3 linked regions of the Saccharomyces cerevisiae S288C genome follow. The gene in region 3 interacts genetically with the main gene of each other region. Each region holds a gene or a part of one and is shown on either strand. Other genes may lie near its edges.

Evidence for each region. Genes that interact genetically often act in the same process or in processes that back each other up.
Region 1: mutations in DAL81 (region 3) and NRP1 together harm fitness more than expected from each alone (negative genetic interaction), as found in Saccharomyces cerevisiae (2 studies listed by BioGRID).
Region 2: mutations in DAL81 (region 3) and IDH2 together harm fitness more than expected from each alone (negative genetic interaction), as found in Saccharomyces cerevisiae (2 studies listed by BioGRID).

What each region holds. Positions count from the first base shown.
Region 1 is NC_001136.10:160,495-165,315, forward strand, and holds NRP1 (Nrp1p), read right to left. Parts: upstream 2,661-4,821; coding exon 501-2,660; downstream 1-500. Other genes in the region: SFA1 (bifunctional alcohol dehydrogenase/S-(hydroxymethyl)glutathione dehydrogenase), read left to right, coding at 1-270; FAP7 (nucleoside-triphosphatase), read right to left, coding at 2,955-3,548; CCR4-NOT core subunit CDC36, read left to right, coding at 3,796-4,371; DNA ligase (ATP) CDC9, read right to left, coding at 4,493-4,821. UniProt on the Saccharomyces cerevisiae protein: May play a role in chromatin organization.
Region 2 is NC_001147.6:578,345-581,859, reverse strand, and holds IDH2 (isocitrate dehydrogenase (NAD(+)) IDH2), read right to left. Parts: upstream 1,611-3,515; coding exon 501-1,610; downstream 1-500. Other genes in the region: SIA1 (Sia1p), read left to right, coding at 1-47; GTPase-activating protein BAG7, read right to left, coding at 2,067-3,296. UniProt on the Saccharomyces cerevisiae protein: Performs an essential role in the oxidative function of the citric acid cycle. Also binds RNA; specifically to the 5'-untranslated leaders of mitochondrial mRNAs.
Region 3 is NC_001141.2:397,956-403,230, reverse strand, and holds DAL81 (Dal81p), read right to left. Parts: upstream 3,455-5,275; coding exon 542-3,454; downstream 1-541. Other genes in the region: INA22 (Ina22p), read left to right, coding at 1-390; signal peptidase complex catalytic subunit SEC11, read right to left, coding at 3,995-4,498; YIR021W-A (uncharacterized protein), read right to left, coding at 4,505-4,717; MRS1 (Mrs1p), read right to left, coding at 4,846-5,275. UniProt on the Saccharomyces cerevisiae protein: Positive regulation of genes required for catabolism of GABA (UGA4, UGA1, and UGA2), urea (DUR1 and DUR2), arginine and allantoin.

The DNA of each region.
Region 1 (4,821 bases), on a different chromosome or scaffold from region 3:
ATTATCATTGGTGTGGCTGCCGCTGGTGAAGAAATTTCTACAAGGCCGTTCCAGCTGGTCACTGGTAGAGTGTGGAAAGGCTCTGCTTTTGGTGGCATCAAAGGTAGATCTGAAATGGGCGGTTTAATTAAAGACTATCAAAAAGGTGCCTTAAAAGTCGAAGAATTTATCACTCACAGGAGACCATTCAAAGAAATCAATCAAGCCTTTGAAGATTTGCATAACGGTGATTGCTTAAGAACCGTCTTGAAGTCTGATGAAATAAAATAGGAGTACTTAATTAAACTAAGTAAGCATGACTCAAATTTTCTGGAATACTTTGAAAATCAACGTCCTACATTCTATCAAATATCATATATATGCGCACAATTACGTTCTTCAGCAATCAGTTAGACCTGAAGAAAAAAGTAAGGGTAGAAAAAGTATATAAATATATAAAAGTGTAAAAATAAAAAATACAATGTGGTTGTGTGAAATTTATTGACCTCGCCTGTTCCTAACTACCAACGTATTGAACTATTAAAACCATTACCGAAAGCGCTATTATCACCAACATTGGAAAAATTAACGTTAGCTTTGTCACTTTTGAACTCGTTAAACGAGCTACCATTCCCATCTCCCTCCTTCATTGACTTTGTTGCCATCGATAACGGTGGTGACATAAATTCCATCAAACTAATATCACGACCTTTGTTATCGTTCCCATCGGTGCGACCAGCATTGCTACCACCATTAGTATTAACAGAAATATTGTTATTACTGGGAGTACGCGACGCTGGTCCAAATGTTGATGAATCTATGTAATGATTGGTTTCACTTGCATCGCCGCTTATTGATTTTGGACCACCACAGCGTAAGCACACTACGTTTTTAGCAAAGTTATGATACGTGCACGTGGAACACTTCCAATCTCCTGCTCTAAATGGCATGTTGGAGCCACATCCTCCCATACCGATATTGGAATTACAATTATTACTATTGTTACCATTGTTATTATTATTATTATTATTGGTATTACTATTACTATTGATACTACCATTATGATGATTGTTATTATGATTGTTATTATGATTGTTATTGTTATTACTGTTGTTCCCATTACCATTCCCATTACCGTTGATGTTGTTATTAATGTTATATCTATTATTGGTCATATTGTTAATATTATTGTTGTTATTGTTAATATTATTATTATAACGATAATTTGGGGCTATATTATTATTTCCCGAAAAATGATCCGCTATAATTATCGGCGACCCACTGTTCGATGGTGCCATGTTCAATGAATTTTGTCGCGACAATGGCGTAATTGCAGGAAAATGAGCTCTATTGTATGTTAAAGCTGCTGGCGTGTTGTTAGCAATCATGTTGAACTCAGGGGCACCATAGGGGTGATTCGCTGCAGTGTTACTAATATTGCTTGAAGATCCCGAGTTCACGCGATTGTTTAAATTATTTCTACTACTGTTAACATTATTGTTTGAGTTCGCAGTATGTATTTGACTATTTGATGGTGCCGGAAAAGAACATCTAAAACATGCAGTACGTCTTTGAAAGTTTGAAAAACCACAAGATGGGCAATTCCAGTCACCTGGTCTTGGTTTGTTTTTACTTTGAGGGAAAGGCGATAAAATTTCTTGAGCCTTATCGAGTACTCCGGTGGAAGAAGGTTGAAGCTCAAGGACATGTTCCACCACCCTTGGTTGCTTAGTGTTTGCCAGATTAGATAGGATTGATCTCCCATTCAACGCTAGTACTTCAGTTGCTTCTTCATGTGTTTGGAAGACAACAAATCCTGAGATACTATCTTGATCTTCCACATAGGGACTGTTATTTAGACTCCAGTTATTATTAACGTTAGACGTATCTTCTACGATGTTTTTGACAGTCCAAAACCCAACTGGTCTAACACCATATTGGGTAAACCATGATTCCAACTCACTTTGAGTTGTGTCGGGCGGTAAATTGTTCATGTACAAAATCTTAGATTTCTCTTGCAAAAACGCTCTAATATCGGTGTGTGAGTCATATGGTTTTGTTAAGACAGATTCCATATCTTCAGGGGAAGTACACTTTTTGTGCAATTGTATTAATATATCCGTTGTCCTTTTTAAAAGAGAGTATATCTCTGGAACAGAGCCTGCCTCTTCAGTTGGGATTGAAACTTCCAATATTCTAACTATTTCGTCCAAATCCTTCGTATTTTTGGCTGCATTAATACTAATACTTTTAGTATTACAATTGTTGTTGGAGATTGCTTTCTTTTGTCCCAAAATCTCCGGATGGTTGACACACCATCTATCGAATTCCTTCCATAAGTCAAATACTTTCGGATGTTGTAAATAAGAAGTAAGAATAAACCCATCATCTCTCGCTTGACGTGGTAAGGTAACACGGATATGCCATGTTGAATACAGGGAAACAAGAACAAAGTCGTCGTTACCAATAACGTCATGAATATCCTTGTCCAATTGCACCATTGCACTCTCCAAACTCTTTGTCGTCCCGTTTACTTCAATGCTCGGTAAAGAATTGGTCCCATAATGGCATACTAATGTTTCAGCATTCACAATTTGAAATGCTATATTCGCAATGCGACATTGATCCTTGGGGGTATCTGGCAAATGCGCAACTTGCAGCTCTAGTACCACATAGTGCATAATTTCTGTATCAAAAATCACAATAGCAATGCACAATTATCCTAGCGCTCTTCTTTAGTAATGCTATTTGCATCAAAACCAACTTATTAAACTTGTATGTGTTGAAAAATTTTTCACTTTAAACTTTTCCACTGGGCATCGGCATCGGAGAATGAAAATATATTACCAAAGTCACATTAAACAAGTACATGACATTACTTAAAGAAAACCCTTTATAATAGGCACTACTATTACTACTGTTACTAATTTACAATTATATATGTATATATGTAGATACACAAAGTTATGGAACGCCTACTCACTGTCTTCATCGTCTTCGTCATCGCTACGAGGCCCTTGATATTCATTTGTGACTCCATCTGGATGTTGTTCTAACCACATCTTTTCCCAAGCAACAATACGGGATACGTTAGATACCATATCTTCTTTCGTATCGCTTTGTAGCTCTACCACAATGTGCGGTTCGTATGATTCCACGGCATCCTGTTTGACGACACCCATAATCTCGGCATCGAGGTTTTCCTCGATCTTAGAGTCATGATAGCCTCTTGCATGCAATCTTGAATACAAGTTAGAGTTATCGCATCTCAACACCACCACCAAGTCAATCAGCCTCTCTGGGAACACATCATTGACATGCCAATCGACAATACTATTTCCCTGTCTCAAAAGAGGCTCTAGCATGTCCAGCAGTTTGTCTTCATCGACAATGTGCGATTTACGGCCCTCATCATATCCTTCGAAACAGTCGTTATCTTTGGCGAAATCCGAAATGTTATAGTATTTGTAATCCTTCAGTTTATTTTTTAAAAACTCACACGTAGACGACTTGCCACATCCTGGTGTTCCTGTAACAATGATATTCGGTCCATACCGTCTTGCTTCCATCTTTATATAACAAAGTATTTCTTTATTTTCTAATAGTTCCTTTCTACGAGTCTTGTGTATGATTTATAAAGAGTGAGCTCTTTTGTTATGAAGTATATTATTATGTGAGTATTTTTTTATAACTGCGAAAAAGCGAGGCGAACATTAATAAGATAATAGCAAAACAGGCATTTTTTAAACTAGATATGCAAAAACCACAAGGAAAAACAGGAAGAGAAGAGAATCAAAATATACTATTCCCTACATAATGGAAAAATTTGGTTTAAAAGCGCTAGTACCGCTCCTTAAGCTAGAGGACAAAGAACTTTCAAGTACATATGACCATTCCATGACCTTAGGAGCGGACTTATCGTCGATGCTATATTCGTTGGGTATTCCAAGAGATTCACAAGATCACAGAGTCCTCGATACTTTTCAATCACCGTGGGCAGAAACATCCAGAAGCGAAGTGGAGCCCCGATTTTTCACACCAGAATCATTCACCAATATTCCGGGCGTATTACAATCCACTGTAACTCCACCATGCTTCAATTCCATCCAAAATGACCAACAGCGTGTTGCCCTTTTTCAAGATGAAACTCTATTTTTCCTCTTCTATAAACACCCTGGTACAGTCATCCAGGAACTAACGTATTTGGAACTCAGGAAAAGGAACTGGAGATACCACAAGACGTTGAAGGCCTGGCTCACCAAAGATCCTATGATGGAACCTATTGTATCCGCTGATGGTTTAAGTGAAAGGGGATCATATGTGTTTTTTGACCCACAAAGGTGGGAAAAGTGCCAAAGAGATTTCTTATTGTTTTATAATGCTATTATGTAAGGTAGACAGAGAAACGAAAGAAGTAAATAAATGTCATTATATGTGATGCGGCGTTTTGGAGCTGAACAGAACGCCCTCTTTTTTTTTTTTAATGATTAATTGAGAAAAATAGTGTGCACATCTAATTTTGCATGTGGGATTGGTTTTCATACAATTCGACGATCTGGTCAGAAGAGGTTGCATCTTCTACGCCCTTGTCTTCTCTTATACGCAAAAATCTTGGAAATCTTAAGGATACGCCTTTATCAAAAGTTGCACTACCTGCTTTATAAATAGGCGATAGGGAAAGGTCTGCAGTCAAAACTTCAAACAAAGTCGTAGGTTCGAACCATACATCTGGCTCAGCACTCGAATCGAAAACAAACGTGGCTTTTGGTCCATCAATGATCGTCGGGGTCAACCTGTCGTGCAAAAGCTGCAACATTTCGTCCGAAAATCCTGTCCCTATCT
Region 2 (3,515 bases), on a different chromosome or scaffold from region 3:
TTGACGAGGTTTACGATTATCAGTACATCTATAAGGGGAAGCAATAATTTCAATGATTAATTTTGTAAGGTGAACATTGACTGCCAGCAGGATAGATGATAGATAGACATAAACAAAATATACATAACACACGGTGGTGTTTTCTTTTTACACATAATATATTTAATTCTTTTTCTTTTTTTTTTTTTTTGGTTTACAAGTCCACTGAGGGACATTTTGAGTTATCACTTATGGTCTCCTGTAGCATTATTAAAAGAATAAATATCGAAAAGTATACATACTTAATAAAAACTTCAGGCTATTAAATAAACATCAGAACACATTGAGGACAAAGCCATAGAAGTTTGGAGTAGATACGGAATTTTTATTGTATGTATATATTATATATCTAAGCATTTTGCTTTTTTTTACTTCATAATCTTTCAGAAATCATTATATTAAACGGATAGTCATTTGTTTTCAAGGCGTGAAAAAACCTGAGAGGGAAAAGAATAGGACTTTTATAATCTCTTGATGACTGCTTCAGTGAATGATGAAGTAGTAGCAGTACCAGCCAAGTCACCTGTTCTGTTTTCTGGACCTGATGCGATAGTAGACAATACTGCATTTTGAATTTGGTCAGCATGATTCGTTAGACCCATGTGGTTTAACATCATTACTGAAGATAAAAGTAGGGCAGTTGGATTCGCTTTATCTTGACCGGCAATATCAGGGGCAGAGCCATGGACAGCTTCAAAGATCGAGATTTTATGACCAATATTGGCAGATGGAGTTAAACCTAAAGAACCGGCGCTCAAACCAGAGTTCAAGTCGGACAAGATATCACCGTATAGATTTGGACAAACAGAAACAGCGTCTGTGTAAGCAGATGGGTTGGTGACCACCTTTAACACACTGTTATCAATAAGTTCAGTTTCTAAAGTAAGGTCAGGATACTCTTTGGATAGTTCTTTGGCAACATTAACGAATAAACCATCAGCTAATCTCTGGATAGTAGATTTATGTACCACAATAACTCTTGGTCTGCCGATGGCTCTTGCATATTCAAAAGCGTATCTAATGACTCGCTCAGAGGCATCTCTTGTGATCAGTTTAATAGATTGAACAACGCCAGGGCAAACTATGTGTTCGATACCAGAATATTCACCTTCGGTATTCTCTCTGATAAGAACTAAATCAACGTTTTCGTAAGTGGTCTTAAAACCTTCAATAGACTTTGCGGGACGAACGTTGGCAAATAACCCAAATGTTTTTCTCAATGTCAAATTCAAAGATCTGTGACCTTTACCAATAGGTGTAGCTAGTGGACCTTTTAGTGCAACCAGGTTTTTTGTGATAGATTGTACGGCAGGGTCAGGAATGGTCGTTAATCCGTTGACAAAGATAGGGCTAACATCACAAGATTCCCATTCTATGGGGACGTTTGCTGCACTAAAGATTTTCTTTACAGACTTGGAAATTTCAGGTCCGATACCATCACCTTCAATGAACGAGACCGTGTATTTGCCGGTAGAAGGGTTAGGTTTGCCGGTATATCTTCCGATTGAAGGTTGCTTTACAGTAGCCAAAAACCTCCTCGAGGTGTTTCTAAAAAAAGTATTTCTCAACATTATTAAAAAATATTATAATTGTTGTTCGTTCCCGATCTGTATCTTATTATCTACCAAGGTAATTCAGGTTCAGAAAAAGTGTATCCAATAATGTCATGCACTTGGAATATATATTTATATAAATATGAATAATAAATGAAAAAGAAATAAGAAAAGAGGAAAACTTTAGAAGGAGGGTTTTTCTGATATGACTATGATGAGAAACTAAAACCTTAGGGCCTATAATAAGGGACCTATGAGCTTTTCAATAACTTATATATTCTTTAACCAAACAATGGAAGTTACAGAAAATAGGAACTGACCAACCAGAGCGGCCCGTGTCATGCCCCCCCTTGCCGAGATGCGGACCGAGATTGCTGAAAGAAGCGCCGAGTATCGCAAAAGGCCCCTGGCGGGGCAACGACAATTTCTTCGCCGAACCTCGGAATCGACTAGCAGATCACAGTGCTTAGGAAGCTAAGGCTGCGTTCTAGAAGGGCTAGTGAGTCTTCTCAACCATGACTGTCGTTGTTTGTGTTTGGTTTTATGTTCACCTCTAGGAACTCTTTCTGTAGGGTCTTTGATGCCAGTATTGCTGCTGTTTCCAACGTTCCCAAGTAATTTACTAAGTCTGGGAGAAAGGGACTCTGCACTCAATGTTCTACCTTTAAAGGATCTCGGTACAGAAAGCCCATTGTTATCAAAATCTATTGGGCTAGGAAACAGTGCATGATGATGATGATGATGATGATGTATGGTAAAATTGTTGGAGTCAGAAAGTGCACGTGACCTTGGAAGCATATGGTCATCTATTGAAGGGTGCACAAAATCTTCTTCATCGGAGTCAATAGCCATTTCAGGAACGGTAATGTTGTTAAACTTTGCTACTGTTCCTGCATGCGGCATGGTGTCCTTATTCGCTTTTTCCGTATTCGGTATTATATCTGAAGCGTGTAGTATGAGGAATTCGATGACAGTTCTGGAAGCCTCATACTCTTTCGGGCACATTTCATCCTTGGGATGAGACAAAAGTGAGGGTTGTACGATGGCCGCTAAATTGCTTGCTGACATTAAATTCTTCTTTTCATTTCTTGCAAATAAATTCAAGAGCGCGGCTAAATAAAGTATTAAATGGCGATTTTGTTGTGGTAAGAGCATATAAATATCTTCGTAGTCCTTAATGATTTGTTCTTTGTGCTCATTTATTTTTGGGTTTTCTAATATTGGATTTCTAAAAATGTCGTATAATGCTAGGGGAACCAAAGGCTCACTTAATGAGTTCAAATATCTTTTTAATAAAGTTGCAATGTCATGAACATTGAAATCACACCATCCTTCAAATTTACGACCATAATCGGGCGGTTTAGAGAAAACAGCTTGTAGCTCTCTAACACGTTTATTGCTTCCCGCAATACGGAAAATTCCTGTTGTGTCTAATGCATTCTCTTTTAGGTATTTCCCACTTTTTGCTATTACCACCGGTATGGAACCAATTTCATTTGTACTTTTTTGGATAATTACTTCCTCTTGAGCAACTTTCAGTGATTCCTCGAGTGAGACGCCAAATACTTTACCATCAAATTCGTTTTGCAAATTAGTAAAGGTGTCCCTATCCTTCTTGCCCTCAACAGAAGACATTGAAGATGACCTATTCTGTGGAGAACCCTCTTCAGAAGAAGGTGTAGAAAGTAGATTCATGTTAAACATTCTATTTTATGTTGTGTAATAAGATATGTCCAGAAATATACTATGGTTATTTATGTACTCTTTCCTGTGTACGCGTTTCGATTATTTTGCAGGTTATATTATATACTGCTATCACATGCTAAAACAAGAGTATCTAACAATGGGAACACAAAGCAAGTATTGATTTACTCATTCCAGTTGTGTAATTTTCTTCTAAAGATGTACTTAAATAAGAAGAAA
Region 3 (5,275 bases):
AGGGTTCATGATAATAATGGAAAGGTAGACTTCGACGCAGATGATGAATTGAAACTTGTGAATTTGCGTTTAGGAATCGTCGGCAAGAACGCAACTGGGATGAAGGAAGATGAGACTGATATTGTGGTTCCTAAGGAAGAGTCATTGGAAGAGATCTGGCAAAGTATAATAGACGAGGCAAAAAAAGAAGTAATCGAAAAAACTCCAGATGCTGGCGTTAAGAACAAAGAAGGGATTGTCACTGATTTGAATGTTCTAAAAGATTTAGAAAAGTCGAAAAAAGAAGATGAAAAGGTTTACCTAAGTGGTGATGTCCATATGATGATGAACCAACCAGGTGATTTGAATGAAATCGCCAAAGAACATGATAAAATCCCAAAATTTCTATAGTAGGCTCTATGCATCCGGATATACCACATGTAAATATAACGCAAGCGAATAAATAATTTTACATTCACCACTCAGTAACCTTGGTCCTGCAGAAGATATTTCTATATAGTTATTACCGTATTCCATTTTTACTTATGTGCTATTATTTATATTACAGAGGGGTTTCCCTTGTGTTAATTGTTACATTTTTATCATCATTCATTTTTATAGTTTGGTTACCAGTTGCGCTTGTTTCCTGGTTCGAGTTTGGATTATCGTCCTTGAGTTCCGTTGATGATTCCTCGTTGGCGGTTCTTTCTCTTCCTGCTGTTTTTTCATCTGCAGCGTCACCTGACTCTTGTCTGGTTTCGTTAATTGAGGTCAAGGGAGAAGCATTCATTTGTGTATTAGAGTTGACATTTGTGCTGGAATTGACTCTTGGTGAAGATGTATTAGAGGGGGGGTGTCTGCTCATATGAGAGGGCGTAACATTTGGTGAAGATTGTGAAGTTTTTTTAGAAGACTTATTTGGCGCAAATGGTAAAGGCGTGTTGTTGCTATTATTATTAGCACTATTTATGGCTGGACTTCCCTGCGATTCTAGTTGTGTTTGTCTGGAAGTGGGGTTTACTGGCGTTGTTGTACTGGTCGTACCGTTGGGAAAGGAGTTTAGTTGTTGCAAGATTTCCTGGGGCAAATTCTTCCACTGGTTTAAAGGAGATCCTTGCTCGGTCATGGCAGGTGATCCCACGTTAAATTGTATTGGGATTTGCGATTGTACACCTGACCTTTGTGGGTTAACGGAATTGATGTTAGAGTTAGGGCTCACGACCACCGGTTCATCGGTCAGAAGACCAGGAATTTGTGCAAATAGTAAATGCATATTATTCAAAGCATTCGATAGTTTATCAAAGTATTTGGAACCTATCTTCAATACCCAGGTATAATTTCTAACATAATCTCTGAAAATCATAGCCTCTTCCTTCGTAGCTGAAGTCACATACAGCAGGGCAGCAAATGTTCCAATTAGCATCAGATTTCCAGTTGAGCAGTTATACCAAAAAGCATTAATATGTTCGTTTTTTAGATCTCTTATAAATTCAATTGCTGCTACAAGCCTGGTTCTTGCAGCAGTCCTGCATACTTGAACCAGTTCCTTTGGAGTTTGAGGATTCAAGGCACAGATAATTTTCCTATGTAACGTAATTTCCGTGGCAAAATAAGCTAGAGTTAAAGTTGAATTTGAGTTCAATTTTTGTGGCGTGGCATAACTCATTGACAAATTCTTGGGTAGGGAATGGTACCATTCTCTTAATTTCAGTTGCAACGGCTTTGCCAGTTTCAATACCTGTTCAATGCTTTTGTTTATTGTCATGGATCCCTGAGTGTAAAATGTGTCCATGATTTCCCCAAGAATTATACTCAAGGAAACCATTTGTTGAAACATAAGCGTTCCATTCTTGAAATCTTCTAAAGTGGGGTTTATGTTAAATATGGGCAAGTTACCAAATGCTATCTGATGGTTTTTCACATCATTTGATGACGAGGGTGAAGACCCCGACTGGTCATTTTGCAAGGAATTTAAAATAGTGGGCGAATTCAGAGGAAAATCATCAAAGTTTAATAGCTTGATCATCCAGTTCCTACCTAAAATTAAATGGGATTGTCTACCTTCGTTTAATGCACACCATTTATCCATCAACCAAACTGCCCACGCTAATCTCTTTCTCAAATCTTTTTCCCATTTGGGAAGTTTCCAATCATTACATTCAACCCCGAGCCCCAATTCCTCTGCAAGGGCCACTACGCTGGAGCAGAGGACCCAGTTGTTATGACATTCACTACGGCATTGCAAAATCAAAAGGCCTGTTTGTATAATGCTCAATTTTGGCCTTCCAACTCGAGCATAAAATGTTTCCAATGCGATATTGTTTAGTTGAGCAGTTACATCGGGTTTAGGGAACCCCAAAAGTGCAGGATGAAAATCCCAATATTGTAATGCCAGTGAGTAAATGGATGCCAGTAAAGGCGCAGTGAGTTCTCTATAAGATCTAGAATACTTTTCCAAAAATACACGTTCGTGTAAAATTGGAAGAAAAGGATGAATCAATTTGAAGAAAATCTCTACTAAAAGGTGACCGTGCGGATGTACCAGATTTTCGACCAAATCAACTTCGTATTCTTGCTTACTATGAAGGGTCGTGTCAAAATCGTCCTGAAGAATAAACTGTGCGGTAGGAGACACCTTTCTTAATGATAAAGTTTTTGATAGCTGTATTTGGTCAACATTATCTAGTCTTACATGCTTGGTCAAGTTCAAATCGAAAACTGAGGCCGGACCGACGAAAAAAGAGGATCTGGGGTATTGTATACGCTGTTGCTGCTGTTGCTGTTGCTGCTGCTGTTGATGTCTATAGAGCATGCTACTGGGTAAGCGATTCGAATAGTCTTCAAAATTTTTCATTCGTTTGGAGTTTGAAGAGGTTGGCATGTTATTGTTTGCCCCAGAGGACGTTCTTTTCAAATAATTTGGAGCAATACTGAAGGTGCATTTAGTTCTTGACGTTTCACATTCGAGACAGTTGCCTAGGTCGGGAAAATAGTTGCACTTTGTTTTCTTTAATCTACATTGATTGCAAGATCCCATCAGATTACCGGGACTAGATATGTCATTATTGTTGTTATTATTGTTGCTATTACTGCCATTATGATCTGCGCTGTTACTAACATTGTCATCAAAGGCTATTGCATTATCACTCTTGGAGAGTAAACTTTGATAATGGTGCAAAAGGGTATCCAGGCTCTGTTGTTGCTGCTGTTGTTGCTGCTGTTGTTGCTGTTGTTGCTGCTGCTGATGCTGTTGTTGTTGTGATCCTCCTTTCTCCCTCAGTATATTAGGATGGTCGTTTGCCAAATGTTGCAGAATGGTAGTATAGTTATCATTAAAATTCAGTATATCATGGTTACTGTTATTATTGCTGTTGTTGCTATTGACATTATTATTCGTGGACGAATTTTTAGTGGTTGCCTTCACGCTCTTCGTAGGCGATGCGGCATTATCAGCTGGTGATTGGTGAGGGTCCATTTGATAGTATGGCTGCCTGTCGTTCTGCCGCTCGTCTAAACAGGCCAAGAGTTTTTAAGATCTACACTATTATTTGAAAATGATTCTTATCATCTATTATTTTCAATCACCATGTACGATTGTTATGTTTCATATAATACCCATCGCGATGGATATTATATGAGTATTATTAGCTCGAATCTTGGACTGCTTCTGCTCTACCTATACACTGATTGTACAATTCTATATGCTTATGCAGCTTAGACCATTTTTTATTCGAGAAGTTAAACCTAGCGGTCTCAATTACCGACACATATGCCTTTTCAAGATATCGAGTTAATGAGCGACGGTATCACCTTATAAAAAATGACACAAATCATCTCTGTTGAATTGCCTACATCACTGTGGGAGCTCCTTTTTCAATAATTCTCAAAGCGTGTCCTAAGACAATATTTTGTTTTCAGCGTGGACCGAATGGTTATGGTTATATAATTAAACAAGTTAAAGACCATAAGCACAAATACAAAGTACGTAAACATCGTTCCAAAAAAACTTGGCGAACTACTCGCCCCCCAGCAGAGCACTCAACCCCAACATACCTAACAATGCAAACTTGGCATATTTGTTCTCGCTAATCCAAATCGTAATGTACCCTAGTTGTGGAAAGTAGCCCTTGACGGTCCCTACAATCTCCTTTGACTTGTTCAAGTAAATTTTCTTATTAGCATATAGTGAGATATCATTGCCGGCGTTATTGTCACCTTTGGTCAGGAGGAATTGCTTGTCCGCGTGATTGTTATGTTGCCTCAAAACTCTATGCACAATGGGGATTTGTTTCCCTTCGACCTCATACACCACGACATCACCTACTTGGTTGAAAGTATTTCTATTCCATAGGAAAAGGATATCACCCCTTTGGAAAGCTGGTTCCATGGAGCCTGAAAGCACCACCACGATCGGAGAAGCGCTATTAGTAGCAATGGCTAAGCCTTGCCAGAACATGTAAGCAGATGCAAACAAAAAGCAAACGTTCAATAGTTTCTGCAATTCAAATCTTAGATTCATCTTGTGCTAACTCCCTTGGGGTTTACTTTCCGGTATATTTCTGTAGTATATTGTTTCTGCACCATTTATTTCCTTGGAGATTATTTTTTTGAAATCGCTTTTGCCAATGGAAAAAAGTATACGTATGGTAATAATAATAAGAGCAACAGCGCTCTCTGAAATAGAAGATACCAGCAGCTTCGTGGTCTTGGGAGTCTTGCAGCTGACAGAGAATGACATTGTTGTGCAGGTGTGTCACATAAGATCTGGAAAAAACCAACAGCTACAGAAAGAACCGCCCTCACGGAGAATAAAGTCAATAGTAGCTTTTTTTTACGTACTTTCTATTTACATGCTATATAAGAGGATTATATCTTTGCGCCTTTGAGAAACTTTGAGGAACCGGCCTGAAAATGTTGTAGATTGAGCTTTTCTTGCTTAACGTAGTCGTTGAATTGCTTTAGGACGCCTGAGTCCAACCTACCATTGTCCTTCATCACAATGTCAACGAGGTTGCTATACGTACGAAGAACTTTACTCGACTCCATAGTAGCGAGAAACACCTCTGTCATATCAGATGCATCTTTTCCTGTGTCCAGGGAAAGACAATCCTTCAGGGAGAAGTTTAGGCCCGTTGTCGAGGATAGTATGGGGAATTTAAGTTTCCAGCCTTTATCCAAATGAAGACACATTAGCGGGTCGATGTCATTATCGAAGGCGGATCGCAGTAATCGCTTGGTGACAACCTCCTTTATAGTGGCACGTACCACCGGATCGTACATCTGATATTCTCGAGGT